3 linked regions of the Styela clava genome follow. The protein of the gene in region 2 binds, or shares a complex with, the protein of the main gene of each other region. Links are inferred from orthologs where the notes say so. Each region holds a gene or a part of one and is shown on either strand. Other genes may lie near its edges.

What was found.
Region 1: serine-threonine kinase receptor-associated protein-like (region 2) and gem-associated protein 2-like share a complex: the UniProt entries of both Homo sapiens proteins name them as parts of the SMN-Sm complex. The link is inferred for Styela clava from reciprocal best matches to the Homo sapiens genes STRAP and GEMIN2.
Region 3: serine-threonine kinase receptor-associated protein-like (region 2) and gem-associated protein 5-like share a complex: the UniProt entries of both Homo sapiens proteins name them as parts of the SMN-Sm complex. The link is inferred for Styela clava from reciprocal best matches to the Homo sapiens genes STRAP and GEMIN5.

The regions. Positions count from the first base shown.
Region 1 is NC_135258.1:19,320,331-19,327,731, forward strand, and holds the start of gem-associated protein 2-like, read left to right. Parts: upstream 1-4,376; 5' UTR 4,377-4,846; coding exon 4,847-5,019; intron 5,020-5,183; coding exon 5,184-5,277; intron 5,278-5,685; coding exon 5,686-5,859; intron 5,860-6,613; coding exon 6,614-6,722; intron 6,723-7,202; coding exon 7,203-7,339; intron 7,340-7,401. Other genes in the region: uncharacterized protein LOC120339927, read right to left, coding at 1,949-2,052, 2,340-2,473, 2,942-3,125, 3,599-3,635. UniProt on the Homo sapiens protein: The SMN complex catalyzes the assembly of small nuclear ribonucleoproteins (snRNPs), the building blocks of the spliceosome, and thereby plays an important role in the splicing of cellular pre-mRNAs.
Region 2 is NC_135251.1:26,654,931-26,662,887, forward strand, and holds the start of serine-threonine kinase receptor-associated protein-like, read left to right. Parts: upstream 1-4,902; 5' UTR 4,903-5,238; coding exon 5,239-5,347; intron 5,348-5,488; coding exon 5,489-5,624; intron 5,625-6,183; coding exon 6,184-6,338; intron 6,339-6,783; coding exon 6,784-6,880; intron 6,881-7,259; coding exon 7,260-7,397; intron 7,398-7,957. UniProt on the Homo sapiens protein: The SMN complex catalyzes the assembly of small nuclear ribonucleoproteins (snRNPs), the building blocks of the spliceosome, and thereby plays an important role in the splicing of cellular pre-mRNAs.
Region 3 is NC_135263.1:13,920,459-13,927,827, reverse strand, and holds the start of gem-associated protein 5-like, read left to right. Parts: upstream 1-4,344; coding exon 4,345-4,516; intron 4,517-4,920; coding exon 4,921-5,115; intron 5,116-5,375; coding exon 5,376-5,584; intron 5,585-5,647; coding exon 5,648-5,772; intron 5,773-6,565; coding exon 6,566-6,678; intron 6,679-7,281; coding exon 7,282-7,369. Other genes in the region: vacuolar ATPase assembly protein VMA22-like, read left to right, coding at 3,054-3,686. UniProt on the Homo sapiens protein: The SMN complex catalyzes the assembly of small nuclear ribonucleoproteins (snRNPs), the building blocks of the spliceosome, and thereby plays an important role in the splicing of cellular pre-mRNAs.

The sequences.
Region 1 (7,401 bases), on a different chromosome or scaffold from region 2:
TAGACCAAATCGTAACAAATCGGTCGACAAAATCGTAACAATGAGATAATGCGAGCATAGGTATTTTAGCGTAGCGAAGTACATTGAATTGAAAATATGTTTTAACCGTACAAAACCAAAGTTTTGAAATAAAAATACGCCATCCTTCTGTAATTCTACTTTAAAACTTTTACCCTTTTCTATAACCTCTTCTTCTATTTCAATGTCTCGTCTCATTTTAGATCATATACATGTAAATGTTTTTTTTACTTATATCATTAATTTTAGCATTGTGTATAGTATTTTTCTGAATATTTTCACTTTATCAGGGTGCCAAATCTTTTAAACTTCCAGTTAGTAAGATGGGGAGATAATTTATCAATAACCCTCATGAGTTCACCCTAATTTCAGAGTTTTACCCCCATTTACTATTAAAAATATGAAAACAAAGTTAATTTTTCTCAAAATTCAAACAAGTATTTTTGTGGAAATCAAATCACTATATAATGACGTTTTCTTTAACTATGGGAATTCAAATTTTATTTAAATTTTTAATCTTATTGTGTTCAACTCGCGATTACGTCCCCCATAAAAAGAACATTACCTAATACATAATAAAGCGACACCAAAAAAATGAAAATTACCATACTCGCCTGATAAGACGACCCCTCAACATCAGGTCAAAAATTTGAGTCTAGAAAAGCGACTTATTTGCCGGGAAATACGGTAGATGTTAATTTGATTCGCTTCGAAGTTCTGAAACTTACATTCCTGCTCTTGTGTCGTTTCCCCTAGATCGGTTCTACTCAACTATTTTTACTTCAAGATACAAAACTTCAAAATTTGCGGAGTCCAGACTTTTTAGAAAATTTATTTTACAGTAAGCCTGAAAACTGCCTTTAACTTCGAGGTCAGTGAGTTAACGAAAAAGCAATTCATGTTAAATTGAGTAACCGCAAAATATATATATGAAGACATCTTTGAAAATAGTAGTTCCCCGGCTGGTGATTATTCGCTAACCTGGTCAGTTTATTATGGCATCACAGTTTTCCTCGTATATAGTTTGGTGCAAGTATGAGAAATGATGAAACTAACTCTAAAACTATAAATAAAAGGTATTTAATAAAAGAAAACTTCCGCATATCCAACTTTCATGGCGCCAATACTCCAAAAGAAAGAAGCAAGTGCGGTCCGAAACAAATATTCAAAGGATCCGGATCTGGACCGCGGTCCACCAGTTGAGTAGCCCTGCCCTAGTAGATATTAAATAGCCTATCACGACCTGGAGCATAAAATTTCTTTGAACTGAACTTTAAGTACCATACAACTCTTATCACACACACGATTTTGTTTTGAAATAATGAAACCCGACAGAGAAATTATCACCAACACGCGCTATATTTTCTGTCCGGTCGGTAAGCAAATACACAAGTTGTTAGTTCATAAATTTTCTGTTAAAGAGCCTTGCTCGAATATAAGTTCCACCTCAGAGCTTCACTCTCAATTTCAAGAAACCTCATCTTTTTTGGGAATAGAATGGCTATAATTATCTTCACCTACCGGGTTTAACTTAAGCTCTTGTGTATATAAATGTTCAACATTCTTCGAAAAATTATTTTGAAAATAAAAAACAATATTTATTTCCCGCAGCTTGAGTTTTTTTCGTGTGTGCCAAGGAACGCTGATAGTATCAGGTATATGAATAACAAACGCATAAATAGACTTTTAGCCTAATTGTTGACAATGTATAGTTCTCCGCATCTAGCAATATGCATCAGCCTTGAGGAAATGAATAATAAACTATGGCCTATCAATCGTTAAAATATATAATGTTTGTTATTGTTCTTCACACTTCCTACCAGTTGTAATTGCTTTGTTTTTGAAGGATGCTTATAGAAGTTAAATACCCATCAACGTACCAATTACTATTGATACAACAGCTCCCGCAACTCTCCGAAGCAGACTTTTGTCACCCACCGAAATGATGATTGGTCTCGGTCGGGCTGTCACTTGTTGATGTCAAAAATTCATCCCGGGTGTGAAGCGACTGCAATTCCAAGTTGTTGGCGAATTCTGGCACGAACAAAGAAATCGTCAAATTACACATAAAGAGCGTTTGATAAGTATTGCTCTCACAATTTTGAATGAGAAATGTCCGCAAATGTTGACAACAAATTTAATTCAAAAATTTTTCAGTGAGGGTATGAATGTACTTGTCCATTTCAAACATTAAATAATGACGAAAATGTGATGTAATGAATTTCGTTACAATTTTGAAACTAACTGCATTCATTGTTGGGATATGGTAATGCATCTATGAAGTCTTGCCATGTTATGTAAAAAGAGTATTTTATTCGAACCTGATATTGTTCGATTTCCTCTTCTAATTCGTTCATACCAAACTGGAACAGACAAAACACAATAAACGAAGCAAACAGATGCCAATATGAATAACATAACAGCCACAGCACTGATTGCGATAACAATATCGCTCCTGTGAAAAAAAGTATGAATATCAGTCTGAAGTAAAGTTGACTGTAATTAGTCTAAAATATATCATTATCCAAATGTACATTATATAACTCGCAAAGTTAGGTAACGAGTTAAGATTAAAAAAAATACATCAGTTTGTTTTTAAATGAATCACACCAATCAGGTATGTTCTAAATCTAAACAAATATTTTTTTAAATTATTTCAGAGTGTGTCATTAACGTTTACGTTTTCGAATATTCAGAGCCAAATGTCATCTAATATTTATTCTGGGTTTTCTTTACACGCTTGTGGTGTAAATTGCAAATTTGCTTACCAAATTCATAATTAGGTTAGATTCGATTTTGATTATGCCATTGACCATCGAATCTGATTTATGGGTTCTCTGAAACCAATCAGGAATACTTGTGAAGAATTTGATTTAGTTAAACGGCCCAATTCTTCGAAACAGTTCAGAATATTAGCACTCACGAAACCAAGTCCTTTCTTTTGCAACAATAATAGTAAGATATCGATTCTGAAGTGGACGAGGAACAACATTTCATCGTATTCTTTTCACATTTAACCTCGACCATGTAACCAAACTCGTCAACGTATGGACAGACTAAGTGATCATCATATTCAAGTATGCCATCAGTAGAATATTCGAAATAACCTAAAAGAGGACGAATTGACGCAACTCAATAAAGAAAATGCCAGCTAGCTTGCTTTGAATATCGATGACGAATTTTAATTGATTTAATAGTGGAAATTGTTTCATGCATACAATTTGAAATACTTCTACTTAATCTAAGATTAAGTGTTTCAAACGTGTCTATTACAATTGACTTTCTGAAGGCTTTTCTGCCAAAGAAATTAAAAACAAACTTTCGAAATTCAGTACTGAAAAGCAACATGTAAATATTTACACAGCAACAAACCTGGAAAATTCCACCTCAATCATCAAGAAAACTCAAAGATTTTGGTGGTTGGAGTATTGTACACGTCAGCTTTTTAATTTCTAAGTTTCAATCAATATTTGTGGACTTTTTGGTAAATCTCTTTGTTATCAGAAACTTTGCTGCGCAGAAAAATGTGTTTTTTCTAGCCTTGGTTTTCATATGCAAAATACTCTATAAAAATACTGACCGCTGCCCTCCAATATAAAGTTTTCAGTGCCCTCCATGACTGTTGCTGTTTATTCATCATCTCACAGAGTAATGGATGCAAAAGTAAGACAACTTCCATTTAAAAGCAAATTGAAATTTGATGTTAATATCAGGCTGCGGGTTTGTTATTTGTGTTCCATTTACGGTTACACGTGTTTTGGAGAGTGCCTATCTAAATTTGGCGGTATGTTTACACTAACCTCTCGTAGAACGACAACATTGGTATGATAACATGCTTTATTTGTTTTTCGTTTGTATGATTTCTACAGCAAATGTTCGTTATACACGATTAATGGGTAAAATATGAACTCGGGGCAGCATATAACAATTTTTGAATCGCACTAAGCTACATAATGTGTTCAGCTTGCAAATTGTGAGCAAATTTGCAACGTTTCAAGTGCATTATAAATAGCGTAGTCGATTCACAGCAACGACGGCATTAAATCTGCCTATTCTGTATTTATTTATTATTCAAGTATTTCATTCCTATATATATGCTTCTACATTCCTTTTTATCCATTCCGGACATTGTCGCGAAAACTTTCACCTGGTACGTGCGACAAGCAAATTAATTCAGGCAATGATATATAGGATTTACATATAGGAGGATAGGATTTACATATTTATCTCGGGGGAGAGGAAAGCCGATAAGCCGGCTTATCTATATGGCGAACCACGGCCTCTCGTCCGGTTACCATTCCAAGTCGGGTATGGGAATAGTTATATTGTTTTGTTTTCGTAAGCATGGACTTGGTGGTGGAGGAAGCCGTAACCGACCAGCGGTTACGTGAACCACCCAACGACGGCGAGGAGTCCAGCAATCCTCTCGCACATAACCATCTCTGCATGGGATTCGAACCTGCGAACCCACTCAGAGTAATTAGAGGTGCGGTGGCGAGCGTATTCCTAACGCTTAGCCCGTTGAGCCACACCGCCGCGCAAAAAAGACCAAATGTAAGAAAAAAATGGACGTCGTGATTCACTGCAAAATAAATATGATATCTTGGAGGATATTATTTGCATTGAAACTATTTATCGTGATATCTCATTTGCTGCTCCTTGACCTTCAACATCAATGCTTCATCATTCCCCCAAGTTTGTCAAACCATTGGTCAAAGTTATTGTGCGGTGTTGTCTTGCAGGCTTCGTACTGTCGTATATGCTACTCGTTCTCGAGTTTCATCTTTTTTGAAACTTTCTGCCATTATTCACGGAATATAGTTGCTCGATGGCATCTCTGATAAGCGTTACAGGCGAAAGTTTGCACGAAGAAGAAATTGATGACGCTGTCCCTGGAGCAACACCTTTCTTCAAAGTTGATTTTGATGAAATCGAAAATGGAGAAATTGTATCAATGGTCAAACTTCCTAGCAATCCCCAAGAATATTTAAGAGGGGTTATGTGAGTTTTTAGCGTTTTGTGACCATTGGGCTATTATGCAGCCATGTTCTACTTTAATGTGTATATTATTTCAATATTTTTAATATTATTACACTTTTAATATTATTTAGAAAGTAAAAATATAATTCCATTGTATGGCTTTTGCTAAATTCATTGTTTTACAGGCAACAAGCCAGGAATACACCAAATGTTGTTGTTGCAAAAATAGATCCAAGTAAAATTAAACCAAAACTGAAGCCAGCGATACCTTCAAAATATGTAAGTTCCTCAACCATGATTTATTATAATTTGTTATAATTAAACCATGTCCAGAATTTTTTTAATTCTTAATTAGTAAATTTGAAAGAATTTTTTTGCATTGGCCAAATGATATTGCAGTTGTAATTGTTAATGTTAGACTTATTGAAATGTCAGTAGGGCACACTTTACAGATCGAGCGACATTGTCTCGTTCCAGAGAATCCCATTTTGTCGATGAACATACAGCCTTCCCTTCGGGGACGTCTGGACATTGTTGTCCCTCAAAATCTGTAAAAATACATTAAAATGAAGTTGCATAATGAAATAAGAAGCGCATTCATGTGTTTATGAGATGGTTTAGGGATTTTTTCAATGTTTATCCACCTGTCTTTTTATGGTTTTTACGATTTTTTCAATTGTTACCCAGCTAAGTGAACAAGTAACTGAAGTAAGATCTGATTTGATCCCAAGTAAAGAATGGCAGGAACAACAATTAGTAGATTTCGCAACAACAAGGGAAGAATATATCAGACATCTTGCCAAATTGAAATCTATCAGTCGTCAAACAAAAAAGAGGCCAAAACTGCCAATTTATCCATTGGTGAGAAAACATTGTTTGTAAAATTTCATTATACATTTAATATACTATACTAAAGTGTCACACTTTATTAGCCAAACTTATGCCTTGTTTGATGATTTTACTTGGTATCAATTTTAAGTTTAGATTCATTTAAAGAAAATCTGACCATTTGAATAACTGTTTGATGTATAGTGGACAAAATGTCGTGACTTCGCTATCCTACTTACTGATTTTTCATATCTGGTAAAACGATGTTGGTGACTTGGGCACAGCTGCAATCAATGTTTACTCAACTCTTCAAAAAAAAAAACCATTGGTTGTTTTATTTGTCTCTCAACCACAAATTTTCACTCAGAATATTTCTCAACTGAATGGTTTTGATCTCAGTCTGGAGCGTACTTGATAATATGTCGTGCATTGTTCATCATATTATATAGATCTTGCATGGGCAAACTACGGCCCGCGGGCTAAATCTGGCTCGCTGGGTAATTCAATCTGGCTTGCCTGAAACTGAAATTTCATGATAAGTTAAAAATAGCTCAAGGAATTTGTTGAGATTGCGTTCAAATTGAGTTTTGACACAATGATTATTGTTTTCCACTTTTACTTTTGTAACACTGTAAATATTGTTCATAAAATGTAACTTTAAGTCACACTTACATGGCCCACCAGTCAAGGTGGGCACAATTTTTGGCCCCCGGTCCAAAAACCTTGCCCACTCCTGATGTAGATCATTATATATTTTATTTTCTGTATTATTATTTGATATATTCAGCCTCCTTGGGAAGATGAAGAAAGCTGGAAATTTCTGTGTTTTGGAAGAAATCTAAAACGAAAGAAACAGGAAACTGATGAAGACAATAATGAGACCACGTTATCTCAAGGTCTTTTTTTCATATAATCGGCCTATAATACAATATGATTGTTAACTCTGAGATATAAATAAGATTTCACATTTTTTCGAGAAAGAGAAAGTCAATAAGACAGACACCTTAATCTGATAGCAAATCACCATCTTTTATTTGATTTTAAGTCTGAGCCAGGTATAGGAATAGGTAACCAACTCCCAGATGCATGAATGGAACTCACCTATGTTTTGCATTACGCTACCCGCAATGAGAACAATCCTTTCATTAAGATCACCCAATAAAAGATTTGAACATGTGGAGTTTATTCAGAATGATCGTATGCAGTCCCATTATTCAAATAGTTGTCACACCTTCATTCAATTTAATTAGTCTTTCAAATGTATTTGGCACTAATTGTATATTTTTCAGTTTTTAGAATGAATCTGTTAAGGATTCTAGTAGGCCACTTATTTTCTAATTTTCCTGGTTTATATTTTGCTATTTATAAACCCACAGGTGCTCATACAAAAGAGTCAGATGAAGATGACAATCTACAGAATGCCTTAATTGCTGGAGGACGAACAACTGCTGATATACTTGCTGATCAAATTAATAGCGAAGAAGATAGGACAGTTGATTTATCCACTCTTGAGGTTGGTTTAAACATCATTCATATTGGGGATTATAGGCCACAACTGAACCCAGTGTTGGTTGA
Region 2 (7,957 bases):
ACGCCCTATTTTTGAATCGCATGTTTGGATATTCAGCAAACATCGTTCTTTTGTGCATTTGCATTTTATGTGAGGGCACACTGTTCTTGGAATTTTCGCTTGCGTATAATCGTACTTCTCAAAAACTGTATTGTTCGTATTATTTGTTTCATTTTCAAAGATAAATAGAATTAAAATCTAGGCCTATTCAATAGTGCCATAGCTAAATTCCAAGAATATTACCAACGTATAAAGATCATCGAATGGTTGCGATCATTCTTCTATAGGTTTTCGATTTCGAATTAAAACCATAACCATAACCATAAACTACAAATATTAACATTAATGGTTCGGATCTATGGAAAGCTTTTCGTTGTAATAGTTGGTTCCATTACATTTGCACCCACGTACATTTGCACCCGTATTTTGAACCCACGACAGTTGCACCTGCATACTATTGCACCTATGGACATTTATTTTACGGATATTTGAACCCATAATAACCCTAACCCATGGATGTTAGCACACGCATATAGATTGAACCCGCAGATATACCGATGCAAATGTATGGGTTCAAATGAACGTGGGTGCAAATGGACGGTCATCTAATAGTAGTATGTCACATTGCTAGTGTTAATGGAATATGTTTTTTTGGATGATAGTTGAATCAGTCCAATCTACGTCAGTCTAATCTCAGTCTGCGTTTCTTTCCTTCGAAGAACATTTCATACCTATTTCAATGTCTTCAAATATGTTGCTTTCCTGAACGATCATCAAATTGTAAAACTAGCGAATAGTCGCGAATAATTTTAATAGCGAGGATTACTGCATTACTAAATATGAGTTTCTTTTGAGTGCTGTTAACGAAATGACAACAATTTCACAACAATATAATGGAAGAATGAGAAAAACAACAGACTTAATAAATACATTACCTTTGTTAAAGTTTAAAAATTGTGGCTTGGTACCCCTGGTAGTTGTAAACAACTTCATCGCGTGTGTTGCGGACACACTGTCGGAGTAAATGTTGCCATACAGATGGAAGGGAGACTATCATACTAAGTTGTAATCTTACCCCGAATGAACAACAGGCGCCAGCACTGAATGGTATTTGAGAATGTTCTGTCATATTGCTGGTTGAGAGTATGGCGATTTCGCCCACGCGGAATTCCAACAATGTAAGATTAATGTATTTATAACAACGTTGGAAAGTACCTCAACAAGTAAAAAATAAAAAACAGGTAAAGATAATATAGCTCAAGTGAAGCAGAAACGAAATTACAATGCACCAAATTCGCGTGAGATATTAGTTTTGTGCTTTTTTAAATTAAAAAAAAAAAAAAAAATTGTTTTTAAACATGGGGGTATGATATAAAATTTAAACATCTAAAAACTGCATGATGTTAAGTTTTAGTGGAGTAGATATTTGCTATCAATTAGGTTAGAACAAGAGAAACGTTTATAATTCTGGCGCGCGTTGCCATAATTTGTCGTAATGTACTAATTCATCCAATACAATGAAACGTGTATTCAAATTAAAACTAGTTATAATATTATCAATTAGTTTTGCGGAAATTATTCATACCGTTCAAAATGTATTATTTATAAATTACCATATGTAACTACATGGGTATAGATACAAAATATGGGGTTCGGCTTTGTCGAGATATTGGAGGTTTGTGAGTTGAAACATTGATAATATTCATGTCATGATACAGAACTTCTGTTGTTTAGTGAAAATTTACACATAAGTTTTTGGATATAATAAATTTTATCGGAAAAAACCTACCCGCCTAATTAGACCACATTATACAACTGTACCATAGCGAGGCTAATTATATCATTCTGATCAAATTATTAAAAATTATCTGAATATGAATAAATTACCACGCTCTCCCGAAGAATTGCCCGTTCCTTGGTATTCCTTAAGATACTATACCATATTGATAAAGAAATTCAGGTCTAATAGTATAACAGTAAATTTATTAAATATTTTTATAGGCTAAACGCAAATTCTGTTCATTCTTTATATATATGATCTTATTGATTTTTTTGCCATTCTACGGAAAACTGAATCAAACACTTAGACTGCAAGACGACTTCTCAAATTATTTTTGTAAACTATAATTGAAGCTAGAATGATATGAAATTTGATGGCTGATGCTATACCTGAATGTGGATATTGCTCAGGTCATAAATATGATTTTTATATTTATAAATCGCAAATCCTCTATATGAAACAAAATAATATACGTGATAAATCATGAGAAACATATATCATTTTTGGGTGATGTGGTTATTTCACGCGGATGCTTAACAGACGAATATCCGTACCAGTTAATATAATTTTCTGATAGTAGATAATATTGGACCATTAATCGACCTAACTACCTTAACGATGAAAATTTTCTATGCATTTGATCTTTATTTTACTTCCCAGCTCAAGATCGACATTTTCTCTCGAACTCTTGAAAGTTAATGAGTCAGAATCCACATACTATGACTACAACATTTTCGCCCAAATTGTTCAAGTTCAAAACATTTTTGCAGCCGGAATTTATAAATATATCCTACAACACTAATGGAATATACAAATTTGGTTGTCGGTAAAGGATTTTCTGGATTCCGTTTGGGTATTATCTTTAGGGTTTTGCTCAATTTACTTCAATAGATAAAACCCATATTTTTGAATGAGCTAACCAGTTTCATCAACAAAATTTATAGATGCTTATATATATATAAGTTCAAAAACGTTGAAGAAATTTCAGACAGAGCCAAGTTAAAAGTAACCTGAAACAACGCATATTGAATTATCGTAGAACCATAGGTCTTTGTAAAGTTCCTAAATATATTGGGAGTTGAAACATTTTGCAACGCACCATTATAATTAGTATATATATATAATTTAATTATAAAATAGATGATAGAGTTGATTTTTGAGAAGTTTCAAATTTTGGTTTTCAGCCTCTCAGTACTAACATTCAATACTGAAATATACTAATACTAAACTTAATCAGCGTTTCCATAAAACGTGTCACTCCATACTCCTGAATATCATCTCTCACGTTTTTTTATATTCAGAAAACATCTTACTTTTGTACATTTGTAAAAAATTCTTCTTTGGGAATTTTCCCTAGCATAAAGATAATCGTATTTTTTGAGAACTGAATTGTTTGCAGTATTTGATTTATTTTCAAAAAAAAAAAATCGAATTAAAAACTATTGGAGTAACTTGATTTTCAATACGCAACAATATCATCTTGACTGAGTGCAAATAAATTAATGTGGTTGCGATTGTTTACCTTTTCGTTTTCAATCCCAAATTGAACTTGAGACATCTTGTAGTTTCCCACTGTATCAGTACTATATTGAATTGATAATTCAAATTTTTTCCTGAATGAGATTAGAATCATCGAATCTAAGAACATTCCATGGCAATTTCGTGAATTTACATAATAAAATATGTAGCATACTAAAATATGTGTTTTTTCTTGAACAATGGGACAACTGCAATGTAAGAATCGCGGCTGATCGAGAATATTTGCAAATGATTTCTAAATGGGGACGGTGAGGTTTATTACAAAAATTACTAAACAAAGATTTTATTTTGAACTTAATATGAGTTTTTTCTGTTTTCTGTTAAAAAAATCACATTCGATTATCACTTAGTGTAACTGACAAATAACAAAGCGCCCGTAAAAATTATATTGGTATCGCTAAGCTTAAAAGTCAAAGACAATTTGGTCGATATTTGTTGAATAAGTTTATAAATTGCCGGAGTCAATGTCACCACACATATAGATAGAAGAATATCATACCTACTAAGTTTTAATTGATAATTTAAAAATAGGATCTTACTTCAAAAAATTGGCATTGGTACTGCATAGTATTTGAGAATATTCCGCCATATTGTTGTAGGCTATCTAGGTATGACGATTCCGCCCACGCGGAATGTAGGATCAATGTAGGCTATTGATAAAAAAAAAACATTGGAAAGTACCTAGAAAACAAGTAAAAAACGTAGAATGCGACAAGAAAAGCGAAAACTAAATAACCTGATATATCTTGAACAGTTACGGAAGGTGGATCAGTATTGGGTTTTATGCTTTTTTAACTTCAAAAACAGCTAGTTTTTTGGGGTATTACTGAAATTATTTGATACTTGAAATAATCAGGTTAAAACAAGGGAAAAGGCCAATCGACTACTTCACATATTAGTTTCGCAAATCATAATTGAACATTATGAAACTTGGTATCTGAATGTCTTAAAACACCTGAATGTCTTAAAACGCAAAAATTGAGTTTTATCATTTATAAATACACATCCTTTATGTAATATAAATTTTGTAGCGAAGATTTATATTTTCTATTTTCTGGTGTTGTTGATTTGTCTTGTTGGTTATTTTCCGAACAGTTTATATTCAACCCAGTTATCTATGTGGTCTTACTAGTGAACTTACTACTGAATTATATTAACACCATTGGCCAACCTGTCAAGCGTTGGGAATAAGCTTGTCACCGCAGCTCTGATCGCTCTGCATGGGTTCGCAGGTTCGAATCCCGTAGGGGTTGATTATGTGAGAGGAGATTGCTGGACTACTCGCTGACGTATTGTGGTTCACGTGATGGCTGGTCGGTTCAGCTTCCTTCACCATCAAGTCCATGCATCTGGAACAAATAACTGGCTAACAAACTAATCTCATACCCGACATGGACTGGTAACCAGATAGAAGGCCGTGATTTGCTCTATGATTAAACTGTCTTATCGGCTTTCTACTCCACCGAGATAAATATGTAACTAAATCCTAACGATATGATATTAACTCGATGATTCGATCGCCGGATTTGTTGCTGCAGACTCGGTACCACTCAACGTGCTGTTTTTCGATTCTTCCATAGTTTACTGAGATTCTTGACTGTGTCCTTATTGCTGTATTGTGAGTCGACGCAGCTCTCGTCTTCTTCTTCCCACCAGCGTTCAGTACAGTGTGAGTGGTGCAGTGTTTGCAACGTGCCGTACCGTATCCTTCGACATTATTCAGTCAGTCTGTGCTGCGCACCAAACCGTGTGGTCGCTGATCGGGCGTAAAAGGTGGACCTGTAGGCCGTAGGGTAGGCTACGTTGTCGCTTTTATTGCTCACTGGCTGACTGGTGTTGTTGACACTGATATAGCCTAATTTGAATTAGTTGTGCACAGTAAATTAAACTGTACTGGTACCAAGATATTCTAACTGTTCCACCGTTCAGCGATAAAAAGGATGACAAAGCAGACACCTCTAACATGCAGTGGCCATACTCGCCCTGTCGTGGACTTGGCTTTCAGCGATATAACTGAAGATGGCTATTTCTTGATCAGCGCATGCAAGGGTGGGTTCATATTAGTTAATAAGCAGTTGGGTTAATTTGCAATGCTTAAAGCACTAACTGAGCAAGGGTTGAATAAAATGAAAAATTTATCTTTTATTCTATATTCTGGTAAGATTGTAATATTGTTACTGTATTATCCAGATGGAAAGCCGATGTTGCGACAAGGACATACAGGAGATTGGGTTGGTACATTCCAGGGACATCATGGTGCAATATGGGCTGCTACTTTGAATAAAGATGCAACAAAAGCAGCAACTGGAGCAGCTGATTTCACTGCGTATGATGCTAACGGATTATATTTTTTTATATATTTGAAATCTTTGACAAGAACATACTCCCATATAAAAATACAGAAGCATGTATTCCATATAGACTTATTTTTAAAAGGTGTTAAATATAGTCTTATAAAACGATGTAGATGAAAAAGATCATCATATGAATTCAGATATGTATGTGATATTTTAGAACACTTAAGCATCCACCACCAAAGTTTGTTCAAAGCACAATCTTGCAGTTTTATTCTAAGATGAGGCAAATGCAGCAATGCAGAGTTAAATTAGGTCTAGTTGACTTAAGTAGAACTTAAGCTAAACATAACTCAATAATCAATTTTGTGTAGGAACATCTGCAATGATACTTTTTACAACAAGATCACATTATACTGATGGGTCATAACTCAATGATTCTAATCCGTAGCGAACTAAATTCGGGCAATTGATGATCTATCAGAAATGATTCAAATTTAAATTTTGAATTCATTGACTGGCTGTTTGTTTCTGATTAATTAGACAAACATTGTTTTCTATTATCTGTTAATCATTTGTTTTTTTATACAGTAAACTCTGGAATGCTGTCACTGGTGATGTTGACGCATCATTTCCACATAAACATATTGTCAAAGCTGTATCATTTTCTCCAGATGGATCAAGGTTATTAACAGGAGGTCAAGAAAAAACACTTCGTTGCTTCAATATTGAGAAAACAGATGCAGGTTGTAAATATTGGTTGAATACCTTCATTTAAAATATCTAGTAATTCATTTAAAATAAATAGTGATATGCCCTCACGAAAGCATGACAGTTTTCAACAGTATGTCAGATGAAATTACTTACGTTCGAAAGTAAAATAATACTCAAAACCTCTAGAAATTAATATAAATTAGTAGTTTCTATATTTGTTATTCAGTGAATTTAAAACAGGTATGTGGTAGCCTACTATTTTGTTGTAGAAATACTAGTTTATATGATTTCTTAAATATTATTAATCAAGAAAAAGAATTGTACTTTCAGGTCCTTATAGGGATGAAAAATATCTGAGGAATATTTCATGTAGATTGATAGCATATTTTAATTTTTAAGTCTTATTTAATCCAAACTTTAAAAGTGAAAAAAAAACTACCCATTCAACATTTGAAAATGCTTGTTTTAAATTGTTAGATCCAGAGGAAATAGGGAAACATGAGGGAAGTATAAAGAAAACGTTATGGATTGATGAAAAGATTGTTTTAAGTGCGTCAGAGGATAAAACAATAAGGTTTGTTGTATTTTAGCACCATTAAATGGGTTATTTGATGCAATATAGGTAGAATTTAGTTTCTGTTGAGGGGGTCATTTTTTTGTATTTTACTTTTGAGCTATTGGAGTATCATCCAATGTAGGGGTGTGCAATATTTTTGTCGATGGGCCATATAACCAACTTCACACATCTAGATGGGCCTCACGAAAAAAAGAATTCATGCATGCAACGAAATAAAAAATTCTTCTAATGCAAATTTTTTTTTCAACATTTTAGTGGGGCACTTGAAATATGTTTGTGAACATCAGCTTTACTTTGGATTTGTTTATGTAAATTTTTATTTTACTTTGGGCATTCTCATAACTGCAACAAAGTAAAAAAAACTAATATTTTGCAGGAAGTGGGATACATCAACCAATAGTGAAGTTCAACAAGTTAAACTAGATTCAACAGTAACAGATATTGAACTGTCGCAAGATAAAACAACACTTCTTGTCACCAATAATAAAACCATATCTATATTCGATGTCGAAAGGTTTGTTTCCTTCTATACTCTTGTTATCTTTTGTTATATACTATTTTTATATATATGTTTTGGCCAAATTGGTGGCATCAATATTGTGTGGACGATTTCAGTACCAGATATAACCAATTTTAAAACGTTATAATGGGAATTTAATAAAGTTCTGTACAACAAAACTTGTCATTAAAGCTTGTCATGTTTGAATTAATCATTAGTTAATTAATATTGCAATATTTCTCTTATTTTTTTGTATTGAATCGAGTATTATTACATCCTTATTTGATTGTTAACATGTCTTGTTTTGTTTGTTGTATTGTCCTGTTGTTATTATTAAGATCACAGTTCAGTTGGTTGACTTCATAATATCATTAATAGTTTCAAAAGTTTCTTTCCCAGGCGCTATTCAATTAATGGTACTCCTGAAGTATGCGCACCAAGATGTCGCACAACCTGAACCCTAACCTGATACACAACCTGAGTTCAAGTTGTGCGCCATCTTGGTGCGAATACTTCAGGAGGTCCCAAATAATAGTGGTAAATTTAGTCCATATATTGCTGGGTCAAGTTTGACT
Region 3 (7,369 bases), on a different chromosome or scaffold from region 2:
TACGTTGTACACCTATGTCGTAGAAACAAAAGTATTTAGGTTAGGAATTCCGTATTGTTGTTACCATCCTCAACGTTTCATGTATGCAGGAATCCACTTCAATGTTTTCCCATAGTTACTACTTACTATACGTTTAATGAATGTCATGCTCAAATTTTAATTGCCTGGCTTGCGTTCTGAATTCATAGGCTGACCTATTTGCATAAGCTTGTTGCCTGTGTAGTAATGTTTTGAATATATCTCTGAACCAAGGCAAAAGCAAATCAGAGTTGTACTTAAACTTATTATAGACAATCTAACAACATCGAAACGACCTACATCAAAGTTTAAAATACAGCAATATGTTTGCATGTAACTGAATGTGTGTTTACGAAATCTCGAAATGAATTGATGTTGTTTATCGTATTCAACGCATCTTTACATGTACCCTACATTAACAGCTGTAGATACTATCAAAGTAACGATCTCTTGTTGTTATAATCATCCTTCTTACAAAATCTATATCATAATAGACCATTTACTACTAATACCAATTAACGTCACTTTCTGCAGGATAATCGACGACCGATGACGACACAAAGCACTATGGTGACATCAACGTCACAAGTGTGATTCGCAAAGAAACGGATCCAGCAAAGCTGAGTACAGCGAGGGGGTGACAGGGACTCATATTGAAAATAGGTTGTCTGACACAGCTTATTTGAACTAGGAAATCGTACGCTTAAATCTACAATACGGTGAAAAAATGGGATGAAATGCAAGAAAAATTAGATCGAGTGAAAGCTAACATCACACAATGTACTAGCTCCCGATTGAACTTGTTTTGGTGGCCCCCAAAATTACAGTTTCGAGTCCGTTCATCATTTTACATATCATTTTTAATATCATACTTCAAAATTTAAACAATGGAGTGAGATGATAGGTTCATTTAGGCTCTCTCGTGTTAAGAGCAAATTAAATTTTATATATATTTATAGAATTATAAATAAAAATACATCATTACTCTCTCTATACGTTCTTATCCATCATTTATTATTTTTACAAGAACTAGTATTTAAAATTTCTTTTTTTTATAGAAAGATATTAGTTTGCAACTGTCGATGGCAATTGGCATATACCGTAGATATAATTTTTCTAATATTGAATGCTTTTTATGTTCAAAACTTTTCACGACAAATAATACTATATAGTGGTTGTATCAACACATTATTACAATTTAGATTAATCATTCATCGTGTCTGTAAATTATTTGTTCACTTTTCTATTAATAAAATGATTTCCACATATACATTTCGTTTTATTTATAATTTTCGACTTGGATTATTCTGACGCAGAGTGTTAATCAGTGGGCTGGGAGATGAGAACGTTTTTGTTAATTTCTAAAAAATGATGAAATACAATAACTGTCGTGAAGATTGTGCTGAGTAATATTTTTGATGATTTTTCTCACAATGCGCTATGATGACAACAACATCAGAAGTTATTCGTATTACTCAGTTGGTCAAAAAGCGTCTTAGAAGTTTGACTCTAAAACCACCCTTTTCATTTGGCGGATTGCTTGTCCTGTCTAAACCGGAAACTGCCGTGTTCCAATGAAAATAAAAATATATCAAAATTTTGGATAAAATATTAAATCTCATTGAATTTATAGAAAATTTAGGAATGCACAAAAGTAATAGCCTTCTGCCCAAAAATCATTAAACTCACCAAAAACTAAATTTCATCCTTTGATACAAATAACCCATTTCGACTGGCCCTTTATTTCAGCAATGACATTAATGTCATTGATTGAAGCGTGTTATCGGATACGATCTTCGGTTACAAATGCCGGAGTTGTGCATCATGTTGTATATTGTCGTGATTTCAGTGAAACTGAACTTAAAAAACATTGATCATATGATTTTTTTCTTTTATGTTTATTGGCCATTTGTAAAACTTAGCAATAAAATAGCAATTATCCATATAACAGGAGTTTGCAAAATGCAGTAAAAGCAATAAACAATAGGAAAAATAGAATCGTTTATACTCACGATTTCACGAATACCTACCGAGAATGGAAAGTAAATCTGATAACCACAAGATGTCGTTAAAGTGCAGGGAGATGCATGAAGCACAACACAAACATGTGCGCGGTGCGGGAGCAAGCCGCTTATTCGTGTTATCGTGTATGCTGTATGGTGTGCCGGAACATTATCAGCTATGTACCGGTAGGATCTGTATTCAATAAAAATAGTTTCAGTGCCATCCAGGGCGGCTTTTCCAGGCTCTGGTCTACTCGAAAAAATTATAGAAAAATTTCTAAGCCAGTAGGCAGTAGATGCACAGACCGGGTCTCATCTCTCATGTAGTTTCGTACCTAACATACTTCTAGTGAGCGTAGCATGACAATGTTTTCACGTATCAATCCTAACCCCCACCTGACTACACCATCCAAAAATTACATCAACACGACGTCACAGTGACGTAATAGAGCCCTTCAAACTATTCGAACTACCATCCAAGACACGCAAAAGAGCACCCAAAATCAAACAGTTATTTTTCTCGTGGCAACGATTCCAATAGGAGAGAGATCGATAACGTCAGTCAGCTCTTTATCGTCGGCGCCAATTCCATTTCGGGCGATTGTACGTATTTTGGCAAGCTCTATGACGTGATTGTGATGTCATAGTGCTGTAGTGACGTAATTTTTGTATGGCGTAGTCAGATGGGGCCTAGGATTGACATATCAAAAAATTGTTATGCTACGCCCACCAGAAGTACGTTAGGTACGAAACTACACGAGACCCCAAATTTGGTTTGCAGCCAAATTCTATATATAACATTACAGGATACCAGTATACTGGTATACGATTGATTAGAAATATCTCAAATCATGCACCCATGGTTCACTATTTATTTAAACTGTCAGACTGTTTTATTTTTTTCATCCAGTCCGGCAGACATCCAGCAGAGAAGGTGCTAAAAATAGATATTCTGATATTGGAATTTCATAACAATGTGCCCGTTTTATTTCAGTAAAAGTCATTCTTTTTACCAAATTATAAAACGCAAGAATGGCTTCAAAACAGAATTTGGATTTTCAATATCTTAATCTTTTGCGAATAATACAACAAATTCACGAGAAAAAGCAGCAGTTACAAACATGTATGGAGAATGGATTTTTTTGTATGTCAAAGGCACGATATGTCATGGGAATGAAACAAGTATCTAAACTGAATTATGCTTCTGTAATGAGTGCAAATGTAACTGTTAATGTTGAACAAAACGATGATGAGGTTTCTAAATTTGAAGTTCAACATAACAAAAATGAAAGAAAAGTATCAGAAAAACAAAACAAAACCAAAAGTGGTGATCAAAAAGAAGCAATTTTAAGGAAAAGAAATGTAGGCAATAGCAGTTCTGAAGACAAAAACATTGAAACGGATGATACTGATCACGTCCAGTCTTCTATTAATGAATTGCCATCTGCTGTTTCTGATATTGATATCAGCGAAGAAGATAAAATTGCAACCCCAACTGATCCATTAAATTGGTTTGGTGTGCTTGTTCCACAAAGTCTTCGGCAATGCCAAATTGAATTTCGAAAAGCCTCCATAATCATTGGTGATATAAGCACACTGCAATCTCAATTAAAATTGGCTAAAACAAAAATTAAAGAGTTAAATTCTGAGATTTCAATCAAGTGAAATATTATTATATTTATATTTATTGTGAATGATCATTGCTTATGTCTCGTGAATCAAATTTAAAGCACCCATTGAGAGATTTCATTTAGTGTACCACACTTCTATTGTTTGATAAAAACTTGCAATAATTTCAATTTTCATTTGCAATATTTGTTTGTTATGGGAAGCTCTTTTTAGGTATTTTCCTGTTTTGGTGTGGTAATATCTATACTACAAATTGAATTTTTATATAAAAAATGTTGTTGTATATACCCGGAGTACACATTTCCAATGAGCATATGTGCCAAAGTGTAATGTTGAAATAATGTTGTTGCTGCCAAGCCACTTTCGAATATGTATTGGTAATATGAATGAACTTCTGAAGTTAAAATTTGGTATGTTGGGCTTCAAAGAAGAAATAGCGATGCGCATCACTAAATCTAAATATTTATCTGCGAATCGAGTCTGTAGCTGAGATGCAGTTGTTTCCATAAAGAATTACCTCCTACCAAACCATATGCGGGTCATGTTCGTGCTCATGGTGTGCCGCATTAAACATGTATGCCCTGTGTTATTTACCCCTGGTATAAGACTATTCATTATTGCAAAGAATCATATTTAATACTCAAGATTTTCATTTTTTCTACTATGTAACAACATCTAATCAAAGAATTTTTGTATGTTAGATGTTTATGGTAAAATATTTAGTATAAATATGGTTGTTCTTCCATCGTCACCAGTGTGGTATCAGTCTCGAGGTATAGATACCTCACATAATGGAATTCTTGCATTTGGATCGAGAAATTTGGTATTTTTATTGGATTTGACACAAAAGAGAGCTGAAATTTATGGTAGGATTATTCATGGGATTTTTTATTTGTTTTCCATGGGATTTTTAAGATGTGGTTACAGTTTTTTCTAGTTCCGTAATTTGCATTTTGTGGAGAAAAATTATGGTTTGAATCAGTATTTTCCCCCTTTGTGTAACGTAATGAATCTGAACAAAATTTTTATTTTGTCGGTCTATTAAAAAATTATTAGATTTCAAATTCTAGATTGATCTGAATTTCACTGGTATACCTAACTATACTGTTATTGATTTATAGAATTTTTGTACAGTAATTTTTTATTTGTTTGTTATACATCACTACTCCAGGGTTCGGTTAGCAATGAGCATAAGTCAGATGTTGTATATTGTGAACCTGTCTATGTGCTAATTACAATGTTATTATGGCCAAATATATCATTGTTTTAGGTATCCTGAGTGGCCATACTGATAAAGTTACAACATGTTCTTTCTGTCCTACCATTGGTCAAGACCAATTACTTCGGATTTCATCTGGAGCTGATGACTGTTCCGTTAAAGTATGGGATGTTCGACAAAAATTAATGCTTCATGAACAATCTGCTCATGGAAGCAATAAAATCATATCAGTGCATTGGTCTCCAGGTATTCTATTGATGATTTCGTATTTTTTTCAGCTTGCCCCTGTCATAAAATGCTGTGAAATGCTTTATTTGTGATAGCTAACTACTTTTACTTCCACAGTGTATGTCTGCTTGACGCTAGTTTCTTTTTATCAGTGACATGTTTTTCAATAACTGCAGAAATGAACGTCAATCCTTTTGAAATTCGAAAATTTTTTAAAAATTTGAATTTTCCTATTTATTTAGTTCTTGATTTTTCTCATTTTTTATTCATTTTTGTAGTAAATCCATCCCTGATACTTTCTGGTGATGAGAAAGGATTTGTTGTCTGTTGGAATTTGGATAAAGGCAGCACAGACCGGTTTTATCCAGATGGAAGCAGTCAGATGCATCTTGGATGTCTTACTTGTTCACCTCACAATGAAAACATTGTTGCAATTGGTTATAAATCAGGAGCAGTCTCATTGATGGACATAAGAAGAAATGGAACTGTATGTATTACATGTTTGTTTTCCAAAAAATTTATTTTAGTTATATTTCCACTGTACAAACAGGTTATCAAGAAACTGAGAGGTCACACTAATGAAGTACATTCGATTGTATGGTCGCCATTTCAAGATGAGAATTTAGTGTTCTCAAGTAAAGGGCCGAAGGATGAAGAGGAGATTGCAGCAAATGGGTATACATAATTATCAATTTAATGGATTTTACTACTGACCTTACATACTGAAATATGTTTTGACGGATCCTAAAGTAGTTAACATAACTTTCTCTGATTCCTTTTCAACTTCCAGGGGACCCATCTCAACTGGTCCCCTCAAAACGGTGAACCTAAAAAAATTCGCATGAAAGCCAACCCTACAAATTGTACGCTCTTATCATGTAAACTTAGCATGGTTAGAGTTGTAACTGTTAGGTTACATAAGCCTAATGTCATTTCGTTTGGGTGTGATCAGAGTTGTGCCTTGTGCATATGCATAATTTTCAGTGCGATCAGAGTTGTGCGCATATATGCAGACCCTTCATTTTGGCAACTATTTTTTGAGTTTTAAACTCGTCTTGTATTCGAGAATATACGATAACCATTTTCGTACCCAATGGACCAATTTGTCATATGTTCATTCAATGTGATGGCGCCTCTCAGGATAAACAAAGAAAATTCTATAATCAGTTGAAATTTGACATGTCATACTTTATGTATATTCGTATCTGAATGAAACTTTTTGATTAGCAAGACGCAAGATGATAACGGAAAAATTTTGAAGAGTAAGAAATACTATCTACCGTAAGTATCGTGATGAATTTGAGGATTCGTCAACTGAATTGTCAGTTGAATTGAATTGTGCAACTTACATAGTAGAACTATAATGCCCTTTTCATCAAATCTTCGAATAAACTTTCCTATTACCATTTATTAATTTTGTTGAATTCGATATGATTCAATTTAATTGAGATGGAATCTTATTTTTTAGTGGATATGAGGGTGTTATTGCGACTGGTAGTAAAGATAAGACTATCAAACTATGGAGTATAGGTGAAGGAAAATGTAGAAGAACATTGAAGATTCCTAACACAGTCAAAAAGGGTAAATATAGTTGTGGATAGCACTTATCCAAACATGGATCTTAGTTACATTGACCGGTAATCCCGAAGTATGTGAATCAAGATGGCAGACACCGGAACGTAGTATGTGTACCAGGTTAGGGTTAGGTCATAATTTTAGGTACAAATACTATTGGAGTCACTTGGCTAGTCCCCGAACTCGTAATAGAACTGAAATAAGGAAAATTGGAATAAAATTATGGCCTAACCCTAACCTGGTACACATACTACGATCTGGTGTCCGCCATCTTGATTCACATACTTCGGGAGTAGTACCCATTAACCCAACCAGACTTACTTTATGAATGAATCATGTTCGAGATAGGCTCCCTCTTTTGAGTGAGTGCACATGACCATGCTTTGATCAAACAATTGTATATAAATAGGTGACAAATATCACCAAGTAAAATAGTTTTACTCCGAGTTATACAACCCAAACAGCGAGCGTACCTAACTATATTTTTTAAAACATACTTTATTTTTTTTAAGTTTTTAAACAGGCTTCCAATTAAAATAAATGCCTAGATCATTACTGGTTTGAGTTTTGTTGATATTGCCATAATAATAAATTGAATTAACTTTTCAGGCCGCAAAACAAATGAGGATGTTGCACGATTATATTCTGCCATACATTGGCCGCAAAATTCAAAGACCAAATTTATATCATCTGGGTA